4 linked regions of the Caenorhabditis elegans genome follow. The protein of the gene in region 1 purifies or fractionates together with the protein of each later gene. This does not show direct contact. Each region holds a gene or a part of one and is shown in the gene's direction. Other genes may lie near its edges.

Region 1 (3,548 bases):
TCCATGATCTCGAAATGTGAATCCGGCTGTAGATGCAGCTAGAGCAAACTTGCCGAAACGTCGGTCTCCACGGTAGAATGAGTAGGAGTACAGAACGCTAAAAAACAATAATTTGAATAGGACTGCCCTTTTTTATTTTTTGGCAAAAAATGGTTTTTATTTTGGTTGTTTTAAAAAATTTTAATTTTTTAGACATGTTTGAAGCGAAAAAAAAAGTTTTATTTTTGGTTTTTATTTTTTTTATTGAAAAAATTGAATTTTCGAATTTTGGACTAAAATCTACGCTTTTTTTTCATATTTTACAAATCTTCTTAAGCAAAATATGTTTTAATGGTTTTCAATGATTTTTTCTAAAAGTTCAAAATAAATCGAAAATCGACTTTTTTTGGGTTTTATGGTCACAAATTCCAATTTGTAGTTCTTGGTCCAAAATCAAAATCTGTTTTTTTGTTTTTTGGTAAGACTTTTTTGGTCCTACTTCACTCCATAATAGTTGACTTACGCTTTCGTCTTGAATCGTGACCAATTTTGACGGAAGTTTCGATACAGTGCAACCTAAACGTATTATAATTGAACACACTTCAATCAAAATATTGTTTACCTGTTTAAACAAAAAACTGCTCCAATTTCTGTTCAGCATATCTTTGTTTGATAAGACTTACTTTATTGCATTCGAGTAAATCTAAAAGAAATGATTGAAAAATGATTTTGATCAGTACGGTCAGTGAAAAAAAAACGATCAGAGTGATTGATCTATGCTATAGTCAGTTCACGTTAGAGATGTATAAAATAGATAGTTTTTGGCAGAAACCAACGAGAAAACAGGCATGTTCTGTAACCACGGATCTTTCAATTTAATTTTATTCTTGATGAGAATCAATAGAAAACTGGGAAGGTTTTTACAGGAAATACGGTTATTGGGTATGATAATTTGAAAACAAGAAAAGTTAGATTGGTTTTTTAAGATTGGCATGAACTTGAAAAGCTGAGTAAAGATATCGAATCATGGAATCACAGGAAAATGAGAGCAGCCACCACATAATTATTAGTCGAAATCTGGGGGAGGTGCAGCTGCAGAAGGGTACGATGGTGGTGGTAAAAGAGCATCTCCATCAATTGGTGGGCAAAGTGACATCATATGACTGCCGATGGGAAATAATTTCTCACGCAAAGAGAGCATGGCGCCAGTGTTCGTGTTGGTTCCAGCGTGAACAATGAAATAATACTTGTCAATAGAATGAACAGCAATTTGGTGGGACTCGTACAATGCAAAGGTTGTTTGATGACCTCCTAAAACATAACTGAGTAGAAATAAAAATGAGAAGTCAATAACTAACCCATGTCGAGTTTGTGAATTTGAGGGATTGTTGTCACGTGACTGACAATCAGCTGTTGCCTGAATCTAGAATTATCCAATGTCGATGGAAGACCTGAAAAATGGTTATATTTTTAAAGTTTATATTAATTATTGGTTTTATTGATGAAAATACTTACCGATATTCAGAATGAGACCTCCATCGTGATCAGTGATGAAGATTGCGCAGACCCCCTCATAGGTAAGCATAAGCTCTTCGAGCTCTTGTTGGACGTTCATCATTTTACTGAAACAATGTCTTTTTTGTTTTTTTTTTTAACTACAGATACCACTAAAATAATCAGCAACATAAGGAAAATTCTTGAATTGATAAAATAAGAGTAAAAATCTGAAATCGGTTTTGGTGGCCGAGTTTTGTCCCGAGGGCCGATAAAAATGGCCGAGGAACCCGAGAAAACCGCGCCGCACTTTGCGTTTTCACGGGCGATAGACTCCACCCTTTTGAACAGAAAATACTATTTTTTGTGCTTTTCAGCTGTTTTAGCTTATTTTTCAGTTCATTCCGTTACTTAAAAATTGAAAACAACTCAAAATAGTTATTCTATGTTTCTTTGTTTGTGAACGATTCAATTTTCCTGCTAATTAAGCATATTTACTTTTTATTTTCAAAAATCGTTTTCCTGTTAATCTAAATAAGGTTAAAACATCACAATTTTTATAGGTATGTCTGGAGCCGCTAAGAGGGTAGCGACGTCTTCCGTGAACTGGTCGAAGCTCGGTAAGTTGTTTAAGTCACAAGTTACGGTATTTTACGTATGTAATAAATAACTTCTCCACAATTTAGTGTTTTAACTTTTAATTTCAGCCGAGCGTTTGGTCCCGGAACACGCCGCAGAACTCACCCGCGTGAAGGGAGTCAGTGGAACTTTCCAATCCGCTGTCAGCCAGCTCCCGGCCGATCTTCCCAAGATCGACTTTGCTGCTTTGAAGAAGGCCCTCCCGGCTCATTCGGCAGTTCTCGATTCTCTTCAAAAGCAGTATGAATCTGTAAAGATCCCATACGGAGAGGTTCCAGCCGAGTATTTGAAGGAAGTAGACCAATGGGTTGATTACAACAACGCCCGTATTAAGCTTCATGAGGTCAAGGTCGCTGATGGACTTCAGGAGGCCAAGAAGGTTATTACTTTTATTTCGAAAAGATTTTTAATATTCTTTTTCCAGGTGGAGGAAAAGTGGGCCAAGGCTCCACCAGTTGAACATTTCGATCGTCAGCATTTCGTCGAGTATTTCCCAGCTCATTTCTATGATCTTCGCTACCAGAACAGAATTCCTGATCCATGCAACATCGGACTCAACGAGACTCCAGAAATTGAGAACAGATTCAAGGACTACAAGGTGGAGAAATTTACCAAATTATAGTCATATTTATTAATTTTCAGGTTCTTCGACGTGCCGACAAGGTTGACGACCATTAAACGATTTATCATGATGTACCGTTCAGTAGACAACTCTCGTTCTTCCTTATCGCTCTCCTACCATTTTTAAGACCATTTTGATTTGTTTTGTAGCCGTTTGTTTTATAATTTCGTCGAATTTTTTTATGTGCCTGGGAGCTTATGCAGTCGATACCCCCTTCTTCAGATTATGTATTTCATAAGAGTGATGGCAAGATAAAGAACTTTCGCATGTTTCCTTTATATTATATGAGAATTTCTTTGCAATTCGCGCGAAAAGAATCTGTTGGCATCATTGATTACCTTCGATGATCGGATTGAAGATATCAAAACAAGTTTTTTCTTTTCATGTTAAAACCAACTAATGAAGTTGAACGAATATTTCCATAGTTTCAATTAATGTCAGTGTATTATGTACATTGAATTCGGATTCCATGTAAAGATCAAGAATTGGCGTGAAGTGCACTATTGTTCTAAATAAGTGATAGATCACATTTAATCAAGAGGCGCCAGACGCGTTGTCTCTTATCTTGATTCGATAAATATGAAACAAACAGACGGAGGCACGACAGGCCTGACTTGTTATTCTTTTCCGAAATTTTTTTGCAGTTTCTTGATTCTTCTACATTTAAGAATTTCAGGGTTACCTAAGTATTTCTGATGCAAATGCGTCAACAAACGGTTAGTTTTATTATTTTCTAAAGTTTTTTTAAAAACTAAATTCAGGGACGACGGCGGCGTCAGCCTTCGGAAACATCTAATGGTTCTTTGGCTTCCAG
Region 2 (2,895 bases), on another chromosome or scaffold:
ACACGGACAATATATGATCTTGCCCTTGATTCTTTCGCTGGTTACATGTCTTACAAGGAACGTGAATGGCTCATTAGAATCCAATTTATTCAGTGTAAGGGTTCTGGTGATCCGCAAGTCGATGATTATTACTATGTGGTAGGCTTAAATATTCAGAGTGTTTTATTAAAATTAACATTTTAAAGACATGGCGTGATAAGCAAATAGCGAACGGGTGGACTGCCGAAACCAAGTTGGAAGAAGCTACTAAAGAGAAGAAAGAAAAGTCGTCCGAGTCACAGAAGGATTATCTTGAACGTATCAGTCGAATGAATTATCGAGAGATGCAGAAAGAGAGGGCTCGTGAACGTGACAAGGAACGACAAAGAGAACGTCAAGAACGAATTGATCGTGGAGAAGACAAAAAGTTGCGGCAGACACTTTCAGACAAATTTGCAACAAGTTTGGGTTTGCCATCAAAATCTTCTACCCACAACCCGCGCCATGTTCTCGATATGAAGGCTCAAGTAGAAAGCGTGGACAATCAAACAAAGAAGTTGTCGGACGAAGAAAGAAAAATCGCCGTTGCGAAGAAACTTCGTACGATGCTTCTACGTTTAGAAGGAGCATTGAACATTCTGATGGAGGTTGATGAGCTTCGACGATCATCGCTGCCTGAAAAGTCGCAGTTTAAAGACTTGAGCAGGTGTGTATATACTGTTTCTGAATATTTTTTTGTAAAATCTTATTATTTCAGCGATGAGAAAGACCAAGAAGTTGAGAAGCGTACGACAGTTATCATCAACGAATTAATGGGGGATGACTTGTCTAAACTCATGCAAATGTCCAAAGGAAGAGCAGTTATTACGAGAACTCTTAAAGTTGTTGAACCAAGAGACCAAGCAAGAATTATTCTTGCATTGATGACGGCTGGTGGACTTGTGAGCAAGAAGATGTATGGAGAGATCGTTCTGGACATTCTCCCAGTTGTTTATCAGAAAGTCTCAAATCTTCATCCCGACCAATTCAAGTATCTTGTTGGAGCTCTTAACTTGGATACTCTCAAGAGGCAACTTTTGGATAGTAACATGGTAACGATAATTTTTAGAAATTAATTAATTTTTTATTTTTGTTTTCAGTTCATCAGGGACATGATGATGACGTTGTTCTTTGTCAGTGTCAAGAATAATCAACAATTGGTGGAGTGGGCCAAAGCTACGAAGTTCTCCAGCTTAAAAATGCCTTCAAGTGCTCCACTCAGTATCTGGAGAAAGGCTCTCAGCGTCATTAGCGACAGCGAGATCAAAGAATTTGCCGATGATATCAAGTACTCAGGAATTGTCGATTGCCATGATGTCGCTCAACTAATCGAGCAATCACTCTAATTTATTTTAAACATCCTAACCAGAGAGATGACCTTATTGTGACATTTTCCTCTCAACCCCTAATTTTTTGCATTTCCCAAAATTGAACTCACCCCCAATGATCCCCCATACGGCCCTACTGAATCATTCCGTCCGTTTAGTATCACATTATCACTTTGTCTGTGAAACTTGATGTTGGTTCTTGTCACATGCTAACTTATCCCAAGCTCGATATTCGATATCATTATATATTGCGTAATATACGTGTCTAATATTCTCTCCTAATATTACTTTATTTAATATTGTATTAGGTAAAAAACATATATTGTAATCCCACCTCACAATTCTTATTTTGCCAAAGAAATATTCATAAATATTATTATTTATTCATTTATTTTAATGATGTCTTTGTCGAGTAATCGGTTTTCTTTCCGGTATTATTTTCTAAATTCTGTTCTCAATGTCAAAAATTGTTTCCAATCATTCCGTTTTAGATGGCAGACACCGTTCGTGGAATTTGGCAATCAATCGTCCAAACCAAGAGACTCTACCTCAACCCACACGAGCATTTCGGACGTGCCAACATCTGCCGTGCCGCCCTCTTGAGCTACGTTGGGATGTACTACATGTTCAAGTGGAACCAGAACAGAAAGGTAAAGCGTTTCCCTATTGTTATTCTCAAAAAAAATTGTTCATTTTCAGGCCGAAATTGCCCGCGCCGAGAGAAAAGCTGCCAAGGCCATCGCCAACGTCGCTGCTGCCGCCCCAGCTCATCACTAATTCAGTCGGATGCACCTAGATTTGGTTTAATTTTCTTTTATTGGACAATAGTTTTGTCCAGATTTGTCGGTTTATGTAATGCTATGTTCTTTTGAATAAACTACCCGATTCGAAAACGTTCGGCAAAATTATACAATATTCTGTGGATAAAATAAGGCAACTAGTTTATATTCAGGTTTTTCAGAAATTCTAGGATGTTCTGTTGAGAAATTGGAAAAAAAAAAATAATTTCACTTAGTGAGAAAATAATTTCCGAGTTTCAGGATCTTTAAACAATTCAACCATACTTTTGCTCACACGCTTAATATCGTCCTTCTTCATCTGATCATATGCTCTGAAATTTAAAAGTTAGTAAAAGGTGTCAAATGACAAATCCCGTACTTTCTGATGCAGAATGATCCATACTGACATTTATCTTTGTTATTCCAGATATTCGATAAACCAAGGAAGGAACCTTCCTGAAAAAAAGATGGCGATGAATTTAGGGTTCCGGTGAAAGTTCCAAGTTTAAGACATTTTTGTTATGGAAACTCGCTTACTATTTTATTGGTGAGGTCGTGTTTAGAGAGGGCCTTGATCATTGCAGCCTCTTTTATTTGTGCTACCGTACTCGACACGCCAACAACTAAATAATTAAGTTTGTAATCAGATTTCAACATTTCGAAAACAAACATATTTTTACGCATCCAATTTCTTGACCTGAGTTCCATATGCTAACGATGCTTCCACATTTTGAATCTATATAAGGATCATTTTCCTTCTGAAGTGCTTC
Region 3 (3,464 bases), on another chromosome or scaffold:
AACATTTTTGCTCAGTGTACCATCAATTGATAGTATTATCAACTCAAAACCACCAACGGCATACGTTACCAGTGTGAATGCAGCTCTGACAAAAGCTGAAATGATTTTGAAAGTGAGACATTTTAGATTTTTTAAAGAGATCGAAAAATCAAAAAATCAAAAAACAAAATTCGGTTTTTAAACATGGGTTTTAATTTAAAAAAAAATTGTGAATTTTCCGGAAATTCGAAAGTCAAAATAAGTTTAGAAAGACCAAAATTTTAATTTGTTGTTTTCCATTTTTCCAAAAACGCGAAATTCAAAATAAATAATTTTTCAGGTAGTAATGTGCAGTTTGGAGACTGTCGATGAATTTGTTGAACAATATATTAAACTTCTACCAGCGTCGGATGCAGCAGAAATGCAAAAAGTTCTTGAAATGAAAGGAGTTAAACGACAAGAGCATTCGGCAGTTCTCAACGCTTATCGATTGAAAATCGGTGCATCTGGCTCGGATCCAATTCAACAATCGAATAGTCTAACTTCTCGGATTGGTGGAGCACTACCAACTGTTGGAAGTGCAGCATCTGTATCTGAAGCATTCAATGCAGTTGTATCAATGGCAGCAGATGGATTGTCTGATCAAGCAGTGACGTCATCAATTGATAAGCTTAAAAGATTCGAAAGACTAGTCAAACGACAATTGTGATTGTTGATCTACTACCAAAGAACGAAATTTATAATTTATTTACATAATTTTATTTGAAAGTTTCTCAGAATACTCATCGGAGTTTTGTATTTATTTATTTATTCATGTGAAATGTTTTAATAGTTGTGAATAAGATTTCTAATTCTTACTTTTTATACTTTTTGTTTTAATTTAATTTTTATGGGTTGTTCTCCGAAATTATTTGATTTTTTATTATGCAGTAACTCAAAGATACCGTATCCTCTCTCGCCACAAACGAAATATTTTGAAGCCGTGAAAAAAGGAATGCTCCTTTAAGTAGTACAGTAACCCACTCTCTGTTATCTCGCGCAGTTGTCTCTGCTTTCCCCTTTTTGTTGTAAAATTTTACCAATAAATAATTAGCATACCAAATTGGTCTGCTAATTATTCAGCATACCAAATTGGTCTAAATCTTCGGAATTTTATTTTTCATGTGTTTAGAAAATAAAAAACAATTATTTGGATCTAAAAAATTGCTATGTAAATTGCAATTATAGTACTCTTCAAATGCGCACATCTTTTTGTATTTCACACAAATTTGTCGTGTCGAGACCGGATATGGTTTCTTTTGGCAAAAATCTAAATTTTGCGTCTGTGTTATTTAATAACAATTATAATTGTTCCAAATTAGAGTCTTCTTGACGAAAAAACGTAAAAATTGGCACGTTTAGACACGTTGTATAACAACAAGAAAAACCTTTAAAAAGCAGTGTTTTCTTGTTTTTATTGTTGATTAGTTCATAGATCACAGTTCACACTGTGTGCTCTATCGTTCGTATATCTCTCACTGTCTGCGTCTATTTTCATATCTGTTTCGTTCACTTTTGCATCTTTTACAATTGTCTTCTTTTTCTTGAATACTTCCAATTTTCTTCTCATTTCTTAGTTATCAACATTTTCCAACTCAAGTTCTGAAATTTCAGAAATCAAGATGATGCGCTTCTCGTCGATGCTGGTTCGCAATGCCAAATTGTGTGCAAATGTCAACCAAATGCAAGTCGCCGCATTTTCAAGCAAAGCTCCTGAAATGATCAAGATCGAGAAAGTTGGAGAGAAGCAAAATGTTGCTCTTATCAAGCTGAATAGACCAAAAGCTTTGAATGCTTTGTGCGCTCAGCTTATGACTGAATTGGCTGATGCTCTCGAAGTTTTGGATACTGATAAGTCTGTCGGAGCAATTGTGATTACTGGAAGTGAGAGAGCTTTTGCCGCTGGAGCTGATATCAAGGAGATGGTTAGTCAGCGTATAATCCAATTTTTTAAAAATTATCGGATTTCAGACCAATAACGAGTTCGCCACCACATTTTCTGGAAGCTTCCTCTCCAACTGGACCGCTGTCAGTGATGTGAAAAAGCCAGTTATTGCTGCAGTGAACGGATTTGCATTGGGAGGTGGAAACGAGTTGGCAATGATGTGTGATATTATCTATGCCGGAGAGAAGGCTCGTTTTGGACAACCTGAAATTAACATTGGAACTATTCCAGGAGCAGGTAATTGACAATATTTTAAAATCAAATTTTTAAACGTCGATGATTCAGGAGGTACTCAGCGTTGGGCTCGCGCCGCCGGAAAATCATTTGCCATGGAGGTGTGCCTTACTGGAAACCACGTGACTGCTCAAGAAGCTAAGGAGCACGGTATTGTGAGCAAGATTTTCCCAGCTGATCAGGTTGTCGGGGAAGCTGTGAAACTTGGAGAGAAAATCGCTGATCAATCTCCACTGATTGTTCAAATGGCAAAGGAGGCCGTTAACAAAGCTTATGAGCTTACTCTTCAAGAGGGACTTCACTTCGAAAGACGACTTTTCCATGCCACTTTTGCCACCAAGGATAGAAAGGTAAATTATCAAAATGAATTTTTAAATTGCAATCTAGTTTTGTAGATAAATTATTTAAACTTATTTATTATTACGGTAGAAAAACTGCCAAATAAATACAGTGATCAAAATATTGTTCCAGTTTTTATTCCACCTTCTCTTAAAATGAAATAATCAGTTTCCTACCTAGTTTAGTATTTTTCTCGAAAACCTGATAAATTCCCCTTAAAAGATGTTTTTCAGGAAGGAATGACCGCTTTTGCCGAGAAGAGAAAGCCACAGTGGGAGTCGAAATAGATGCGCATCTACAGATAAGAGAAGAAGATGATTCAAAGTGCCTAGTTGAATTTCTTGTTTTATTATTTTTATTGTGTTTTGTATTTTTTCTGTATTTTACGGTTAGTTTCTTCTGCCATTGAAAATAAATATATATGTAAAGCTGCATCTTCACGATTTTCTGATTCCTTTTTTTTTGTAGTCAGTTTCGATTTTCCATATTTGTGATTTGTGATTGTTTATGTTTTTTTTTTGAAAAAAAAATCAATTAAACACTACAGAAACACTACACACTTGTATGCTGAATAATAGCATACCCACCTTGGGTCTGCTAAATATTAAATTTGTGATTTCTGATTGTTTATGTTGTTCGAAGAAAAAATCAATTAAACACTACAGAAACAGTGGACAGCGATGTGGCTTGACTGGTTCTTTCCCGTGAGTTTTGTAATATTTAATGGCCGGCAGGGAGCAACATCAAGCGGCAAAGTTTGAAAAATCTTCCCTATCACGATTTATTAAGTTCAGTTTCAGTTTCTACTGTACAAAAATGTTTTTATCTACTATACTAGTATATCATTACCTAACCACCAATTTTCGGCCGCCCTTTCTTAGTTTCTCTCAATCTCTTCTAATATTTTCTATATCTGATTACCTCTCTC
Region 4 (3,456 bases), on another chromosome or scaffold:
AATCGATTTTTGGGGAGAAAATTTGGGTGAGGCTACAAGATTCTGTAGTTTGTAGTGTGAGCCTCAACCAATATTTTCAGTGATTTTCGGAAGTTTTTAACTCGGAAAACGATTTAATACTCATTTTTTTAGTTTATAAATACGATTTTCTGTTTCAAAGACACTCTAGAAAAACTTTGGGTGAGGCTCCCAAAATCTGTGTAGTTTGTAGTGTTAGCCTCACTCAAACTACAACGCTTACTTTTTGAAAATAGAGCCTTCTATAATGAAAAGTTTCAGGTTTTTAGAACAAAAATCGATTTTTCCAGCAAAATTTGTTATTTTTTCTGTCAAAAAAACTTGATTTTAGAAAAAATGTGAGTTTTTTTACTGGAAAATCAGAAAAAACATATGGGTGAGGCTCTCAAAATTTTGTAGTTTGTAGTGTGAAGCCCCACTCAATTCAATTTTATTCGAATTTTATTTTCAATCAAAAAATTTTACTTTTTGAAAATTAAGCCCTCTACAATGCTGATGCAAATCAAACGAGAAAAACGTGACGTCATTATCATCGGCCTTCACACAATGCTCCAGAAACCTCTGAGCCAGCGGAAGCTCTCTGCCACGTTGATCCACGAGGCTTACCGCCACAAGAGGAGTGTCGTAGTGGGCTTTAAGCCGTTTAAAATGCTCCGTGAACACGCCATGCGTCTCCTCCACAGATCTATTGATAATTAGCGGTGGGCGATACTTGAAGCCACGCTGAGACCAGAATACGGGAATCGAGCCGCGGCACTGCACAAAACTGAGCTCATGCTCGAAAATGTTCAAAATGAGCTCAGTTTCCACGAAGTTTGCCACGTTGGAAGCCTCGTCGATGCCACGTCGTAGGTAGCGGGCTCCCGCGCGGCGGGTAGATCGTCGGGAAATTATTGTGATTGTCAGATAGGCGTTTATCTGGAAATTTATTCAATAATCTAATTATTTAATTAATTTGTGGGATTTTTTAATACCTGATCCGTAATTTCCAGCTGACTTGTGGCCACATATCCTTGCATAATTGGGCATGTGAATTTATCGGAAATTTTGGCTTCTCCCAGGTTTCCCACCATCCTCTTATTCCAAAAAAACGAATCCTCCGACGTATGAGCCTCACGCTTCTCGAAATACTTTTGTGAGGATATTGTGACGTCACGGCTTCGACAAAAGTAGAAATCCTTCGAATCATTGAACAGCTTGAGCACATCATCCAGTAAAGCCGGACGGGGCTCGGCTTTTGTCACTTTTTCCGCGAAAAACTTCATTATTTTCTCGGTTCCTTGCTTTAATTTAGTGCCGGAGCCCGGGGTGATTTGAGATTTTATCACGGAGCCATCGGATTTCACATTTATCGCGATAACCCGCTCGATTCTCCGGATTGAATGGGAGCTCTCGGCTGACGTTCCTCTATAACACGCTACCACCGAACTATCGACGACGAAAAACAGAAAATGCTGCTCGTCAAACGATATTTTTCCGATCAAAAACTCGACGTTTCCGCACAAAACCACATCTTGATCGAGGATTTCCAGCGATTCTTCCGGTTTTTCCAGTACTTTCCCATTTCTGCGATCAAATTCCACACGTTCTCCTTGTTCTTCGAGTATTAAAGCTGTTGGTGTTGTGTAAATTATCATCTGAAAACAAAGCGATTTTTTTTTGAAGTCAAGAAGAAGTTGTAACTCACTTTTCCAGTAGTTTTCCGGCAATTTTCCACTATTTACTTTGTAATTCTAACACGCCGATTTCGGAAATCAGCAATTTAGCATTTGGAAATAAAAAATTTGGTCTTTGTTTGTACAAATCGTCCCGTTTTGTGAGTCATCTCGGCGAAAATAAACACAAAAGAAAAATAATGCAAGTATGCTCCGTTGAACTTTCTTAAAGGCGCATGGATTTATCTCGATGGGTCTCGCCACGATTAGGGAATTGCAATGGAGTTTTCCATTTTTATCCTAAAAATTTTTACGCTTTTCCAATGGAAATTTGTGATTTTTTCGTAAATTTTTATTTTTTTTCATTTAAAAAATATTTTTTCAATGTGTAAATCGTATAATTATCATGTTTTCTCTCTGAAATAAAGCTCCTACTATGATTTTTATGCATTTTTCCTTATAATTCTTGTGTTCTCAGTTTCTAGTTTAATTTTAAAATTAAGATTTTTCAGGTAATCCAGTCAAGTCGCGATGGCTCCAAAGAACGAGAAGAAGTCCCGCAGCACCATCAACGAGGTCGTCACCCGTGAATACACCATTCACATCCACGCCCGCATCAGAGGAATGTAAGTTTACACTATTTTCCATCTTTCGCTCAAATTTCCTGCTCACATGCTAACACGTGCTCCACCTGGAAGCGGTGTGTTGGCCCACGCCTGTCATCGCAGCTCTTTAATGAGCAGGTTCTAGCCCGAACCGCGGTGGCCGGACTAACGGAGCTTACCCGCCTCGTTTTCTGGTGAGTGGCTCTCTCCAGAAACGCCGTTCGTTTCTCATTCGAGAATCGGACGGAGATCTCAGGGGCATCCTCAAATTCGGTTGAAATATAGCGGGAAATCAGAGGTAAAAATGATGATTTTGCGAAGTTCTTATCCAATAATGCGTTTTCAGCGGATCCAAGAAGCGTGCTCCACGTGCCATCGACGAGATCAAGAAGTTCGCCAAGATCCAGATGAAGACCAACGATGTGCGTGTCGACACCAAGCTCAACAAGTTCATCTGGTCCAAGGGAATCAAGAACGTTCCATACAGAGTTCGTGTCCGTCTCTCCCGCCGCCGTAACGAGGATGAGGACTCCGCTCAAAAGCTCTACACCCTCTGCACCTACGTTCCATGCACCAACTTCCACGGACTCACCAACGTCAACGTTGACAGCGAGGAATAAGTATTGTTGATTCAATAAAATTGTTGTTACCTTTAATAAAAAAGGTTTTGATTTTCGAGGTTGGGGGAGAACAGAAGCTGTTTCAGAGGTTGCTTTCACTCGAATTTTCTGTCGTTTTTCCCTTGAAAACAGTATTTCTCCTTCGAAAAGGCTCTAGTACGGATTCCTAGTAGTGGGATTTTCAATCGATTCTCGAATATTTGCAGCCACGTGGTCAGATTTGTCTGCTTTAGAGTCCTCATTCAGATTTTTTAAAAAAGTTTCGAATGCTCTCATTTATTCAAACAAAGAATAATCAGTCCTTATCAACCTTGCACGTGGCAACTGGAGCCTTGATGGTAACGTGATCGGCAGAGGCGATGAAGATTTGGAGAAGGATCTGGAATGTTCTAGGTTTACACAAATCCTGAAGAAATTGAAACTTACAGCGATGAGGACGAAGACACGACGGAACATGTTGAGGAAGTGGTGGATGATGGATTTTCGGACAAAAACTGGGAATCTTTTATACTGGAACGTTTATTGCACCCGCGGGGTGCTAAACCATTCGTTTTTTGC

What was found.
Region 2: the proteins of atp-5 (region 1) and F44E5.1 fractionate together in Caenorhabditis elegans (co-fractionation; one large-scale study listed by BioGRID). This does not show direct contact.
Region 3: the proteins of atp-5 (region 1) and ech-6 purify together in Caenorhabditis elegans (affinity purification with mass spectrometry, with the first as the bait; one large-scale study listed by BioGRID). This does not show direct contact.
Region 4: the proteins of atp-5 (region 1) and rpl-31 fractionate together in Caenorhabditis elegans (co-fractionation; one large-scale study listed by BioGRID). This does not show direct contact.

Annotation. Positions count from the first base shown.
Region 1 is NC_003283.11:11,122,356-11,125,903, reverse strand, and holds atp-5 (ATP synthase subunit d, mitochondrial), read left to right. Parts: upstream 1-2,036; 5' UTR 2,037-2,038; coding exon 2,039-2,093; intron 2,094-2,180; coding exon 2,181-2,491; intron 2,492-2,536; coding exon 2,537-2,710; intron 2,711-2,754; coding exon 2,755-2,790; 3' UTR 2,791-3,003; downstream 3,004-3,548. Other genes in the region: strt-7 (Phosphatidylcholine transfer protein), read right to left, coding at 1-97, 503-555, 602-640; lmtr-3 (Late endosomal/lysosomal adaptor and MAPK and MTOR activator 5), read right to left, coding at 1,046-1,290, 1,338-1,430, 1,495-1,594; mboa-2 (O-acyltransferase), read left to right, coding at 3,430-3,450, 3,496-3,548.
Region 2 is NC_003280.10:11,773,502-11,776,396, reverse strand, and holds F44E5.1 (ATP synthase subunit e, mitochondrial), read left to right. Parts: upstream 1-1,837; coding exon 1,838-1,996; intron 1,997-2,045; coding exon 2,046-2,123; 3' UTR 2,124-2,235; downstream 2,236-2,895. Other genes in the region: patr-1 (Protein PAT1 homolog 1), read left to right, coding at 1-138, 186-685, 737-1,070, 1,119-1,364; F44E5.15 (N-acetyltransferase domain-containing protein), read right to left, coding at 2,358-2,457, 2,505-2,581, 2,663-2,748, 2,796-2,895.
Region 3 is NC_003281.10:9,751,052-9,754,515, reverse strand, and holds ech-6 (putative enoyl-CoA hydratase, mitochondrial), read left to right. Parts: upstream 1-1,632; 5' UTR 1,633-1,640; coding exon 1,641-1,943; intron 1,944-1,989; coding exon 1,990-2,200; intron 2,201-2,248; coding exon 2,249-2,547; intron 2,548-2,769; coding exon 2,770-2,823; 3' UTR 2,824-2,964; downstream 2,965-3,464. Other genes in the region: vps-53 (Vacuolar protein sorting-associated protein 53 homolog), read left to right, coding at 1-112, 320-688.
Region 4 is NC_003279.8:13,652,434-13,655,889, reverse strand, and holds rpl-31 (Large ribosomal subunit protein eL31), read left to right. Parts: upstream 1-2,185; 5' UTR 2,186-2,204; coding exon 2,205-2,299; intron 2,300-2,624; coding exon 2,625-2,898; 3' UTR 2,899-2,941; downstream 2,942-3,456. Other genes in the region: sac-2 (SAC domain-containing protein), read right to left, coding at 484-936, 993-1,655.